Rattus norvegicus: one gene and its partners. The protein of the gene in region 2 purifies or fractionates together with the protein of the main gene of each other region. This does not show direct contact. Links are inferred from orthologs where the notes say so. Each region holds a gene or a part of one and is shown on either strand. Other genes may lie near its edges.

Evidence for each region.
Region 1: the proteins of Iqcb1 (region 2) and Exoc1 purify together in Homo sapiens (affinity purification with mass spectrometry; 3 studies listed by BioGRID and IntAct, counting the BioPlex papers as one, with this or other methods). This does not show direct contact. The link is inferred for Rattus norvegicus from reciprocal best matches to the Homo sapiens genes IQCB1 and EXOC1.
Region 3: the proteins of Iqcb1 (region 2) and Cep290 purify together in Homo sapiens (co-immunoprecipitation; 8 studies listed by BioGRID and IntAct, counting the BioPlex papers as one, with this or other methods). This does not show direct contact. The link is inferred for Rattus norvegicus from reciprocal best matches to the Homo sapiens genes IQCB1 and CEP290.

The regions. Positions count from the first base shown.
Region 1 is NC_086032.1:32,011,307-32,015,607, forward strand, and holds the start of Exoc1 (exocyst complex component 1), read right to left. Parts: upstream 2,822-4,301; 5' UTR 2,691-2,821; exon of another isoform or gene 2,477-2,690; intron 1-2,476.
Region 2 is NC_086029.1:77,455,368-77,459,014, forward strand, and holds part of Iqcb1 (IQ calmodulin-binding motif-containing protein 1), read right to left. Parts: intron 1,591-3,647; coding exon 1,461-1,590; intron 1-1,460. UniProt on the Homo sapiens protein: Involved in ciliogenesis. The function in an early step in cilia formation depends on its association with CEP290/NPHP6.
Region 3 is NC_086025.1:37,195,312-37,199,603, forward strand, and holds the start of Cep290 (centrosomal protein of 290 kDa), read left to right. Parts: upstream 1-1,471; 5' UTR 1,472-1,643; intron 1,644-2,177; 5' UTR 2,178-2,205; coding exon 2,206-2,307; intron 2,308-2,462; coding exon 2,463-2,540; intron 2,541-3,227; coding exon 3,228-3,297; intron 3,298-4,095; coding exon 4,096-4,142; intron 4,143-4,292. UniProt on the Homo sapiens protein: Involved in early and late steps in cilia formation. Its association with CCP110 is required for inhibition of primary cilia formation by CCP110.

The DNA.
Region 1 (4,301 bases), on a different chromosome or scaffold from region 2:
AAAGTGTTTCCTAGTAATTGGAGGACACAAGTCCAATCTTGTTAGTTTCCAGAACTCATTTAACAAGCAGTGCATGGGGAAGCCTGCCTGCAACCTCATGCTGGGGAGGCAGAGACAAGCAGATCCCTGGAGTGCACTGAGCAGACAACTTCACCTATGGTTGGAGCGCCAATCTGGTGAGAGACCACGCACAAGAAAAGGGGGCGTGGATGGTGCTAAGGAAAAACATGTGCAGCCGCCCTTTGCCTATTGCAAAGATGCACACCAGAAACCCAAAAGGTTTCATACCATCAACCACTTGGGAAATACGACTGACATCTGCGGCAAGAATCCTACTTTCAACTGCTGGGAAGGCTAAAAACCCACAGGACACACAGCAGTAAGCAATGAGGAAGGGGCCTCCCCCACCCAGCTGGGAGGATCACAAATGGCAGGGAGGCTTTAGAACAGTCCTGCAGTCCCTTCTGCAAGTCAGGCATGCAACTGCTGTTATGATCCAGCCCCCGTCAACCACGGATTTAAAAAATGCCCTTCAGCTGGATCTTACGGGGGCATTTTCTCAATGGCGGTTTCCTTCTTTCAGATGACTCTAGCTTGTGGCACACCCCTTAATGTGCCCTAGGGCCCAGGTGTGACATTAAAGCGATACTCTATCCTATCCTCAAACTCAAGTGGACACTGCAGTTTACTGTACTGTCTCTGGGCTTTGTTCACTATTTTCCTCATTCTGAAATTCTTGTCACTGCAAATTCCAACTCACCCTCAACCATTCTGATAACACACTGCATCTTCTTTGAAGCCTTCCTCCTCTTCTGTTCCCCAGCTTACCTCTACTGGCAGCAGCTCTCCAACCAGTGTTTTCTAGCTAGTGCACTCTAGACCCTACTAAAAGCAGTTCTCTCTCGGCAAGGATCTCATCTTATCCATCTTTATATTCCTAGCATTTGCCACGAGGCACACAGCGAGTGCTTAGTAAACATTTAGGGAAATACTGTTGCACTCAACAACAGACCAGGGATAGTTCCCTCCAAGTTACCTCTTTCCAACTTTTGAATCTATAAGAAAACAACCCAGACTCAAACTCTGCCCTAGTTCATTGCTTCCTCCATGCCAACGTGAAATCTGTTAGCGTACGCAGTGACTTCTCCATCTACATATAATTTACTTTTCCCCCATCTGGCTACCAAGCAACCAAGATTTACTGCCTTTAAGTAATAGCACCTGTTACCTTTTTCTTTTTTTAAAGTTTCTACAAGTTCCCTGAAAAACTAGTAAATAACTTTAAACCAGTCCTCATTATACCACTGTTCTCAAGCCATGCCTTGCATTCAAAGCACTGTGTTGTTTCTGACTTGAAATCTTTGGTTAAGCACTTTCCCATGCAGGCCAGATTATCTTTTCCCTATTCAAACGTACATTTCTCCATTTGGATGAAGCTGACTCAGTAAAAGTCTTAATCCTCATTGCTCTTCCCATGCAAATGTCTAGAGCACTTACTGTATTTACGAGACAAGTGCTTGCTATCTAATGGGGACATGAGTATCATCTCCTAGGTCTCCACAGTCATCTCTTGGGAGGAGGAGGAGGAAGAAGAGGAGGAGGAAGAAGAGGAGGAGGAGGAGGAAGAGGAAGAAGAGGAAGAGGAGGAGGAAGAGGAGGAAGAGGAGGAAGAGGAGGAGGAGGAGGAGGAGGAGGAGGAAGAGGAGGAGGGAGGGTGCTCTAACACAGGTTTGTGTGTTGGGTACTTACTACAACCTCTTGGTGTAACCTGTTTTATTGAAACAGTAAAAACTGGTAAACAGAACAATTAACTCAGGCCAATATTCACCATACTAAAGACTCCGTGCATGGTAAACAGCCAAACAGCAGAGGACTGGTTATAACTCATAAAAGAAATTAGACGTAATTCAACAAATATTACTATTCACTAAGTGCCAGGTAGCACTCTGGGGGTATAGTGGAGAATCTGAAAGACATGAATGGGATGATGTAGAATTGTAACAGTCAGTCTTCTTTGGGGTTAGTGATGAATTCTCCAATGTTTATACAGAACTTTATATTATGCCAGTATTATTAATAGTGGCCTTCACAACTATTTACCAAGTCTAAAACCCACGCCCATATTCTGGGTTCTCTTTAGTTCTTCGCCTTCTAAAACCTCAAGGCTGCCCGTTACAGAGGCAGCTAACCTCTGTTCATCGCGTATCTTACTTCCTGCACCTTGATAGGGCCATCATTACACTGTGTGTCAGTGCAAGTGCCTTAGTGGGTTGGGCCCATCTACTGCAGTGACATCTCAAGACTTGTCATCCAAAAAACGAAAACTGCTCAGAGGCTGGGCAACGCCCTTTTAAGATTTATAAGGACATATTTGTTGATTTGGACCGGCAGAAGCCAGGTCACGTTCTCCTCTCCCAAACCACGCTAATTTGGCAAAAATGAAATCTGTCCCGGATGGGCGGAACTGAGGACTGACCCTAGGCTGCCTCCGGGCTCCGTCTTCTCCCAGAGCCCAGGACAGGAAGAAGTAAGGACTCAGTCCGGGCTCTGCAGCAGCGGTTCTGCAGCCCTGGAGGGCAGCAGGGTGGGTGGGCCGTGTCACTTGGGAGTGGCCGACCTGACGCAGATTGAACACTGCCTCCACTTAGGCTACCACCTCCAGGACCGCCGGTCCCCGGCCGGAAGCTTACCGCGAGGCCGGCCGGCCGAGGTTGGTGCTCCAAGACGGACTCTACAAGGGCGCCGGCAGCAAGAGCAGCTATGAAACGCTTTTCATTGAGCTGGGAAAAGAAGCGGCCAGAAGCCGCCACTTCCCGTATCCGGTCACGTGCCGCTCTGTACCGGAAGTTGATCTTGTGGAGCCGGAAACGGAGACAATGGAAGGGAACAGATTGACCAATGGACTTGGAGGAGGTCGAACGTTGCCTTGATGGGTGGGACCGGGCCAGACAGTGGGCGTGGAAAAGGCAAGGACCGAACCCGCAAGCTCGTAGACTGGTGGTTCTCAACCTGTGGGTCTTTCGCGGTCAAATGATCCCTTCATAGGGGTCACATATCAGATATCCCATATATCAGATATTTACATTACAATTGATAACAGCAGCAAAATTACAGTTATAAAATAGAAATGAAATAGTTTAATGGTTGGGACCCACTGCAGCATGAGGAAATGTATTAAAGGGTTGCAGCATTAGGAAAGTTGAGAACCACTAGCATAGATAACCACTGATTAGAGGAGTTGATAATGGTGGTATTTTCTTTTTCTAGATGTACCCATTCTGATATTTGTGGCAAATCATTTGAGAGCTCATTAAATGTTTTCTCCTTTGCATATGTAAAATCCTGTTAACTCTAGATTCTTCGGAGCACTTCAATGAGTTAAGTCAGAATCTCTGGGAGAGGAACCTAGACATCACTAGTATCCTTAATTTCTCCCCACTTAATTCCCATAACGTGTTTAGGTCTAGAACCATGTCACTTACGCACTTCATACTCTACCGGGCGGACTGCGCAGACCTTCCTGGGTGCTTTTTAGAAACTGCACCCGCCGGCTCACATCAGATACTGAAACAGAATCTTTGTTTTAAAGGTGATACTTGTTTCAGTGTGAGAGGCATGAATGATGCCAAGATTGTGAGCTATAAGACAAGTGATTCATTTAGGCCACATCCCTGGCAGGGATTGAGTGCTGGGAACTTTGATTTCCAGGTACAAAGGCCATTCAAGCTTTAATTCTATACTGAATGAGTTCATAATGAGGTAGAACTAGAAAAGGTGATTGCGAAGGCAGGATAACATACTCTACCAGGATGATCATCTCCTCCTCCTCCTCCTCCTCCTCCTCCTCCTCTCCTCCTCTTCCTCCTCCTCTCCTTCTCTTCCTCCTCCTCTTCCTCTTCCTCCTCCTCTTCCTCCTCCTCTTCCTCCTCCTCTTCCTCCCCTCCCCTCCTCTTCCTCCTCCTCTCCTCCTCTTCCTTCTCCTCCTCCTTCTCCTCCTCCTCCTCTCCTTCTCCTCCTCCTCCTTTTCCTCTTCCTCCTCCCCCTCCTTCTCCTTCTCCCCTTCCCCCTCCCTCTCTCGCCCTCCCCTTACCCCTCTTCTTTGCTGTTTTTTCTCATTAATTTATTTATTCACTTTACATGCCAATCACAGCCTGCCCCTCCTTTCATTCCCCACCTCCAAGTCTCTCCCTTATTCTCCCCTTCTCTGAGAAGGGGGAAGACCCCCTTGGATCCCAACCCACCCTGGGACATCACATCTCTTTAGGACTAGGCGCACAGGATGGATTTCTTAAGAAAATGAG
Region 2 (3,647 bases):
GGTTATTACTATTTTTGACTATTGTAAATAGTGATGCAATAAACATGTTTTGATAATAATCTCTCTTCTTTTAAATAAATATAAGTCCAACAATGTAATACTGAACTATCACATATAATAAAAAAATCTTAAGAGTGAAATCAAGGAGGTGGAGAGATGGCTTAGTGGTTAAGATCACTGGCTGCTCTTTCAGAAGACCTGGATTTGATTCCCAACACCTGCAAAGATGAGAAGTCTTTGAAATTCAAGTTGAAATCTGAGTTCTCTGCTGTACCATTCTAGCTTAATGTAACTGACTGAAAAAGAATTAAAGATGAAGAAATTCTCAACTTCTGGTCCTATTCCTACTCTCAAAGTTAGGACTGAGGACTGAGCAAAAATGCACTCAAGGCCTGACTGTGAGAACAGTTAGATAATCTTGAAGACAATCACTTAAGGTCAAGTCAAGCTGTTAGGGGAAGAATGGGCACCATAAATGGGAAATTGATAAGCTAGTTATATAATTGATCTAGTTATCCACAAGAATGGAAGCAGAAGCTGCCAATACCAACCAATAAACTCCTAATGACTTCTCATTTGGCCGATTTTTTACTTAGACAGCAAACAGTACAAGCTACATGTTCTAAACTATCAAATATGTATACAAAATAGCTCTAACAGGTTTGGACATTTAAGAGTGGCAGAACACAAGGTCTTCAAAAATTTGCTTCTGAAAAGATCCTATTACAAATTCAAAAAATAATATGGCATCTGCTGCTGTTCTAGGTGTGGTCACAGATTCCATTTCAAAGTCTGATGTACTGATGTGGCACTTCTTTAGAGAAACTAGACTAAATGCAGAACATTTTTGAATTATTTTTCACCATGCTCTCCTCTTCCTTCCTCCCCTCCCATCCTCTCTCTTTCTCTGTATATAAACATTACATAAAACATAAAAGTATCAAAAATATTATATAGTTCCCTTAAAGTAAGTACAACTTTATATGTCAATTAAAAAATAAAAGCTACGGTCTAACTATCCCCAAGTGTCAGAAATTTGGTCTGGAGAGAAGTGATGCCATGGATATAAGTATATATGTATGTTGCCTCAAATTAAGTGGTAATACAAACTCTTCAAAATCATACAGTATTCTTTAGCTAACATTTACATTTTATAATGTAAAGACTAAGTTCTTGGTTGTAATTTTTGGGTAAAGATGTTTAAATTTACTACTCTACTTGTGTGTTCAGCCACATATAGCATATTTGAAAAATGACAGGGGACAACTTAGGGAGGGATAAATATGGTGCACATTCTTGTAATCCCAGTGCTGAGGAGGCTGAGGCAAAAGGGCTGAGACTCTCGAGACCTGCAAAGCTATAAATTGAATATGAAGCTAGCCTGGGCTAAACAGTGGAACTTTGTTTCAGGAGAAAAAAAAGAATGAAAATTATTTGGCCATACAACACTAAATACATACCTTAGTTGCATTGATAAAACATGTTTGCAATCGTCTTCCCAGGACAAGAAAATTTTCGGCAGCTGATGGAAGTAATTCCTTGTAAAATTCTTCTCCATCTTCTCCTGGCTCTAATCCCACACAGCAATGGCTGACATAAGAGAACAATTTTGCGTTAATAAATAAATATCATTTGAATATTCAAACTTCCATAGGCATGGTACCTTAATGAGTCTCATCAGTGTCATTCTTTTGTTGACAAGCCAATTAAGTAAATTTCAGCTTTCTAGGGAACTAGACTGTGAAATGGACCTTGCTTGCATTTTAGTTCCAGGTTCACATATCCTAAAAACAAATATGCTGGCTCTGTAAGAAATGAAAGATGTGCCCAGGTGATGGTGTATGCCTTTAATCCCACACCCTAGAAAGCAAATACAGAAAGATCTCTGTGAGTTCAAGGCCAACTGACTTGGTTTACAAAGTCAGTTCCAGATCAGTCAAGTTTACACAGTAAGACCCAGTCTAAAAAGAACAAAAACCAAACATCAGAAAGAAAGAGGTCAAGGGAAGGGAGAGAGGGAGGGAGGGAGACAGAGAGGGAAGGAGGGAAGACAAAGTGAAGAGAGAGAAGGAAAGAGAATAAAATAACATGAAAGACACTTGGTTTACAATCAAGAAGCCAAATCCAAGAACAAATCAAAATGATCGTCCATCATGATCAGGCAGGCTTCATCCCAGGGATGCAGGGATGGTTCACTATATGGAAGTCCATCAACATAATCAACTACATAAACAAACTCAAAGAAAAAAAACCCACATGATCATCTCACTAGATGCTGAGAAAGCATTTGACAAAATTCAACACCCCTTCATGGTAAAAGTCTTAGAAAGATCAGGAATTCAAGGCCCATACCTAAACATAGTAAAAGCAATATGCAGCCAACCAGTAGCCAACATCAAACTAAATGGAGAGAAACTTGAAGCAATCCCACTAAAATCGGGGATTAGACAAGGCTGCCCACTTTCTCCCTACCTACTCAATATAGTACTTGAAATCCTAGCCAGAGCAATCAGACAACAAAAGGAGATCAAAGGGATACAAATTGGAAAGGAAGAAGTCAAAATACCACTGTTTGTAGATAATATGATAGTATACTTAAGTGACCCCAAAAAATTCCACCAGAGAACTCCTAAACCTGATAAACAACTTCAGAAAAGTGGTAGCAATATAAAATTAATTCAAACAAATCAGTAGCCTTCCCCTATTCAAAGGATAAACAGGTTGAGACAGAAATTAGGGAAACAACACCCTTCACAATAGTTAAAAATAATATAAAATACCTCGGTGTGACAATAACTTCAAGTCTCTGAAGAATGGAATTGAAGATCTCAGAAGATGAAAAGACCTCCCATGCTCATGGATTGGCAGGATTAATATTGTAAAAGTGGTCATTTTGCCAAAAGTTATCTACAGATTCAATGCAATCCCCATCAAAATTCATACTCAATTCTTCATAGAGTTCGAAAGAGCAATTTGCAAATTCATTTAGAATAACAAAAAACCTAGGATAGCTAAAACTACCCTCAACAATAAAGGAACTGGGGGTGGGGGAGATTACTATTCCTGACCTCAAGCTGTATTACACAGCAATAGTGGTAAAAACTATATAGTATTGGTACAAAGACAGGCAGGTGGATCAATGGAAAAGAACTGAAGACCCAGAAATGAACCCACACACCTATGGTCACTTGATCTTTAAAAAAAGGAGCTAAAAACCATACAGTGGAAAAAAGATAGCATTATCAACAAATGGTGCTGATTCAACTGGAGGTCAGCATGTATTAGAATGCAAATCAATCCATTCTTATCACCCTGTACATAGTTCAAGTTCAAGTGGATCAAGGACCTCCACATAAAACCAGATACACTCAAACTATTAGAAGAAAAAGTGGGAAAGAGCCTTGAACACATGGGTACTAGGGAAGTTTTCCTGAACAAAACACCAATGGCTTATGTTCTAAGATCAAGAATCGACAAGTGGGACTTCATAAAATTGCAAAGCTTCTGTAAGGCAAAGAATACTGTCAACCAACAGATTGGGAAAAGATCTTTACCAATCCTACATCAGATAAAGGGCTAATATCCAATATATACAAAGAACTCAAGAAGTTAGACTCCAGAGAATCAAATAACTCTGTTATAAAATG
Region 3 (4,292 bases), on a different chromosome or scaffold from region 2:
TTTGCCAAAATGAACATGAAAAATAATTCATATTCTTGATCAAATGAAGCTATAAAATTAAAATGCGTAAAATACAAGTAAAATTCAAGAGGGAAGTGCAACTATCTCACACATTTCACAAGCATTAGTTTGTAGAATGAATGAATGTGTTCATTACATTAAATGAGAAAATAGTGTTTAACCTCTCCAAGCTCCAATCTCTTACATGGACAATGAGGACACGTAAGCACACATTTTGCTGTCCCTCTATCAAGAATAATTCCAAAACAACAGTATTTGGGGGAAGAAACAGGCCTACAAATCTGATGATGTCTTTAAAATTTGTTTCAAATATCATTTTTTTTTGCGCTATTTGTTTTTCACAACCACAGAAATCTTTTCAAAAGCAAATTTTAACTGTCTACATTTTTCTTTTAATTACTTATTATCTATTATGTATGATACATACAATTACTCTATATACCCATTTATACATACATAAGCACATATGAGACACACTGTTTCAAACAGAAGTTTACAGCTCCTAATGTTACCTGCTGGTGTAGAATGACTGTGGAATTGGAAAAAGTTCCTAGAGTAAGAAGGCAAACATCCGAGAAGGTGCTTTCACCCAAGAACCCCCCTTGGTACCCAGCAAATGACAGCAAAATGCCAGAGCTTGGCATGGCCCTTCTTCCTCCCTCCAGCAGGGCTGGTCACGCACTAAGCCTCCCCTTTCTTCGGCCTTCACTTCACACTTCTTAACCTAATAAGCAAGCTGCAGCAGGAGGCTGTCCATCCTGATGCTCCTCCACTCAACCAGAGCATGAACTCAGGGGGTGGGGGTGGGGGCGCTCCACTTTCCCAGACACTTAGGGAAGCTGGAAACTTTTATTCACTCCCTTCTTACGGAAGCCACTAACTGGGAGCCCCCAGCATACACCTGAGTAGCTGGAAGACTTTCTCACCTCTGTAAGATCCGCCGGCGCTCCAGCAGCCCCAAAACAGAGCTTCCCTAAAACGCAAATGTTCCCTGAGCTCCTCCCGGCCGCTGAGTGACCCGCCCCGACCTCACCTGAGGGCGGCTCCGCCAAGAGATGGTTCAGGAAAGCTTCGGAGACGGTGGACCGGAGAAGGACTCTGCAGAAAACACTGTCATAGTCCGCCACGCTCCGGCTCCTGGGCGGCCGCACCTTAGCAGCCGCTCCTCCCGCCTCCCGATCCTTCCCCAGCTCTTCCAGGGCGGCCGCAGCCTCTCGCATTGCACGCCGGGAACGCGCTGCTCTTCCCAAAACTTCTAATCCCAGTATGCACAGCCGCAGCGCCGAACTGCACTCTGGGACGTAGAGTCCTCTTCTCACGGCTTTCCCTCATCCACAGTGAAAAAAGGTCTTGGAGGGGGAAACATAGCCGTAAAGCTTTTCCCCCAGTCGTGAAATGTAGTCTTCCCTGGTATCCGGGGCCTAGTTCCGGCCTTGGCTGGCTGGGCGGGGAGTGGTGTCGCCTAGCAGCCGGCGCCGCTTCGGCTTGTTTGGGAAGAGTTGGCGGGAGCAGCTTGAGTGCGCGAGGACAGCTATTGGAAGCGAGAGGCCCAGGCGGTGGCCGAACCCGGACGTGATCGCTGTAGATGAGTGACTGCTGCTGTTTTGCCCGTCTTGGTTTAGGTGGGTGGATTCTCGTGAGCCGGAGCAGCTTAGTGTCGGTCACAGGTTCATAATCCTGGGGGACAGCGTGCAGCCTACCTACCCAGTCCTTCTATCGCTCTTTTCCGCAGTGCCTCTGCCTCCGTGTTTGAGCTTGGTTCCGCGCACACTTCATTTAGCTCAGTCTTTATTTATCCACTTTAAAAATCCTCTCGTCCCCTGTCCTCAGAATCGGAGGAGGTATTCAAAAACTTCCAAATATCTTGAGAGTTGGTACCATCATTGATGATAAGGGACTTGGAAAAGGGGACTCGGGGTTTTAGCTCCGATTTTGTTTTAGCAAAGAAATAATAATTTAGCATGTGTATGATCGTATAGTCTGTGACAGGTGAACTAATTCTCATCTTGGCTGTTTGCCTATGCATCTGTTTTTCGGTTCAGGAGCCATAGCTCTCAGCCAGCACCTAGGGAGTTAAGTTAGAACGATCATGATCATGTAAACACTGCAAATGCCATCTTCCCTGAAAATGCTGAAATCCATCTGCTTTGTTGTAGGAACTGAGAGGCAGTGAAAGAATTCAAGATGCCACCTAATATAAAATGGAAAGAATTAATCAAAGTTGATCCAGATGAACTGCCACGTCAAGAAGAGTTGGCAGATAAATTATTGATATCCTTATCCAAGGTACTTAATACATGATTTGTACACAGATCCTGAGGTACAATGTCACGAATAGAAATTGCTTCTTCAAGTAATTGAACGCTATAAGCGGAAGAGTGATTGTATTTTATGCACAGGGTATGAAATAGTCCATGTATTTTGTGTGTTTGTTTCCTTAGGTGGAAGTAAATGAACTAAAAAATGAAGATCAAGAAAACATGATACATCTGTTCAGAATTACTCAGTCACTAATGAAGGTTTGTGGGAAAGAGTGTGTAGGAAAAGAAACTTTTTTTAAGAGTAACATAAAGAAATATAACCAGGGGGTCAAATAAAATGCAAAACCTTTCCCCTAAAAGCTAATTGTGAAATGACAGGATTCTAGATTCTTTATAAATAAATACTGAGAAAGAATATGTATTAATTCGTTCCGTTAAGGTAAAAGCACATAGAAAATTTGTAGGGTCTAAACAGATTTTGGGTTGGTAGTTTAGGGTATACTGTCCAAGGATTTGAGGGCATATTTTGGCTCTTAGCACTTTAGAAACGAATAAAGGATTTTTGAATCATAGTTGGCCAATATAGAAATATGCTTATGAAGGAAAATTAAATGTATTGTATAGATGGAAGGGATTAGAGCTGATTAGCTCCAATTATAAGAAGAGATTAATACATTTATTAATAATAACAATTGGGATAGAAAAAGATAATGAAAACATTGAGAATAGTGGATATACTTAACAGAAAAATCAGGTTCAAAGTCTTGCCCCTCTAGAATTTCTAGCCTTAAGTATTTAGTTAACAACTACTTACTGACTGACTCTCTGCGCCCGTCACTGCACACACTAAAGACTGAGATAGCGAATTTCACACCATTTCGATTTCCACTGTTTATATTGCAGCGTAAATAACCCCGGATCCCCCCCTCTTGTTTTAATGTTCAGATGAAAGCTCAAGAAGTGGAGCTGGCCTTGGAAGAAGTTGAAAAGGCTGGGGAAGAACAAGCAAAATTTGGTAAACGTCTAGGACAAAAAAAAAAACCAAACTACTGTGGTTCTATTTATTAGATGGTTGGAAGTTTATCAGATTCTATAAAGTGTGCATTCAATTCATATTGGAAGAGGCTACATCCTTGCCCAGTTCCAGGGACTGACCTGAGTGCTGAGGTAGGGGCTGAAGAAGAGAAAACACAGACACACAGAACAGTTGGATTCGGTCGCACTGGGCTCACTGACGGAGAAGCTGCCACACCCCAGAAGCTCAGTGTCTTTATTCGATCCACTTGAACAGAGTAGTGGAGTTGTTGCAGGGCCGAACATTAAGTCAGGTGACGGCATACAGATAAACAAGGCGACAGGATTGCTGGCAGACAGTTGAACAGGGAGGCAGAGCTCGCTAATCTGAGTAGGAGTAGTCTCTGTAGCGGAGTCAAAGCCATGAGAGGGAGCAAACTCTGGTGGATATTTTCTACAGATTCTGTCAACATCCACACTCAGACTCAGAGGGAAGGCTTTGCCATTTGCCATAGGCCTGAGACTTTGAGTTACTGACATGGCTTTGCCCGTGTCAGCAGGTACACGTTGACTCAGGACCTCACGCACTCAAGTCTTCCTCTGCCCTCTACATCGAGGCATTTCTACAATGCATAGTTTATGCATTTAGTATATGATAATTACTTTCCTTTACATTATCTGATAAGAGGATGGAATCTTTTACAGAGAATTGTACTATTTTATTGAAGTTTACTTAGCATCTGTCTGACTACAGGAAATTTAACCAATTGAAACATTTGTTGTTGTTTTTTTTTAATAGAAAATCAATTAAAGACAAAAGTAATGAAACTGGAAAATGAACTGGAGGTATATCCTTTTGTATTTTCTTGCTTTTGAATTTCCTTGTAATTGTTATTAATTAAAATATTTAAAATTATTTTCAAATTTTCCTACTGCTGGGATGGAAAATACAAGGCTTTGTGCTCAAGAGTTTACTCATTTTACAGAATGTGTTTT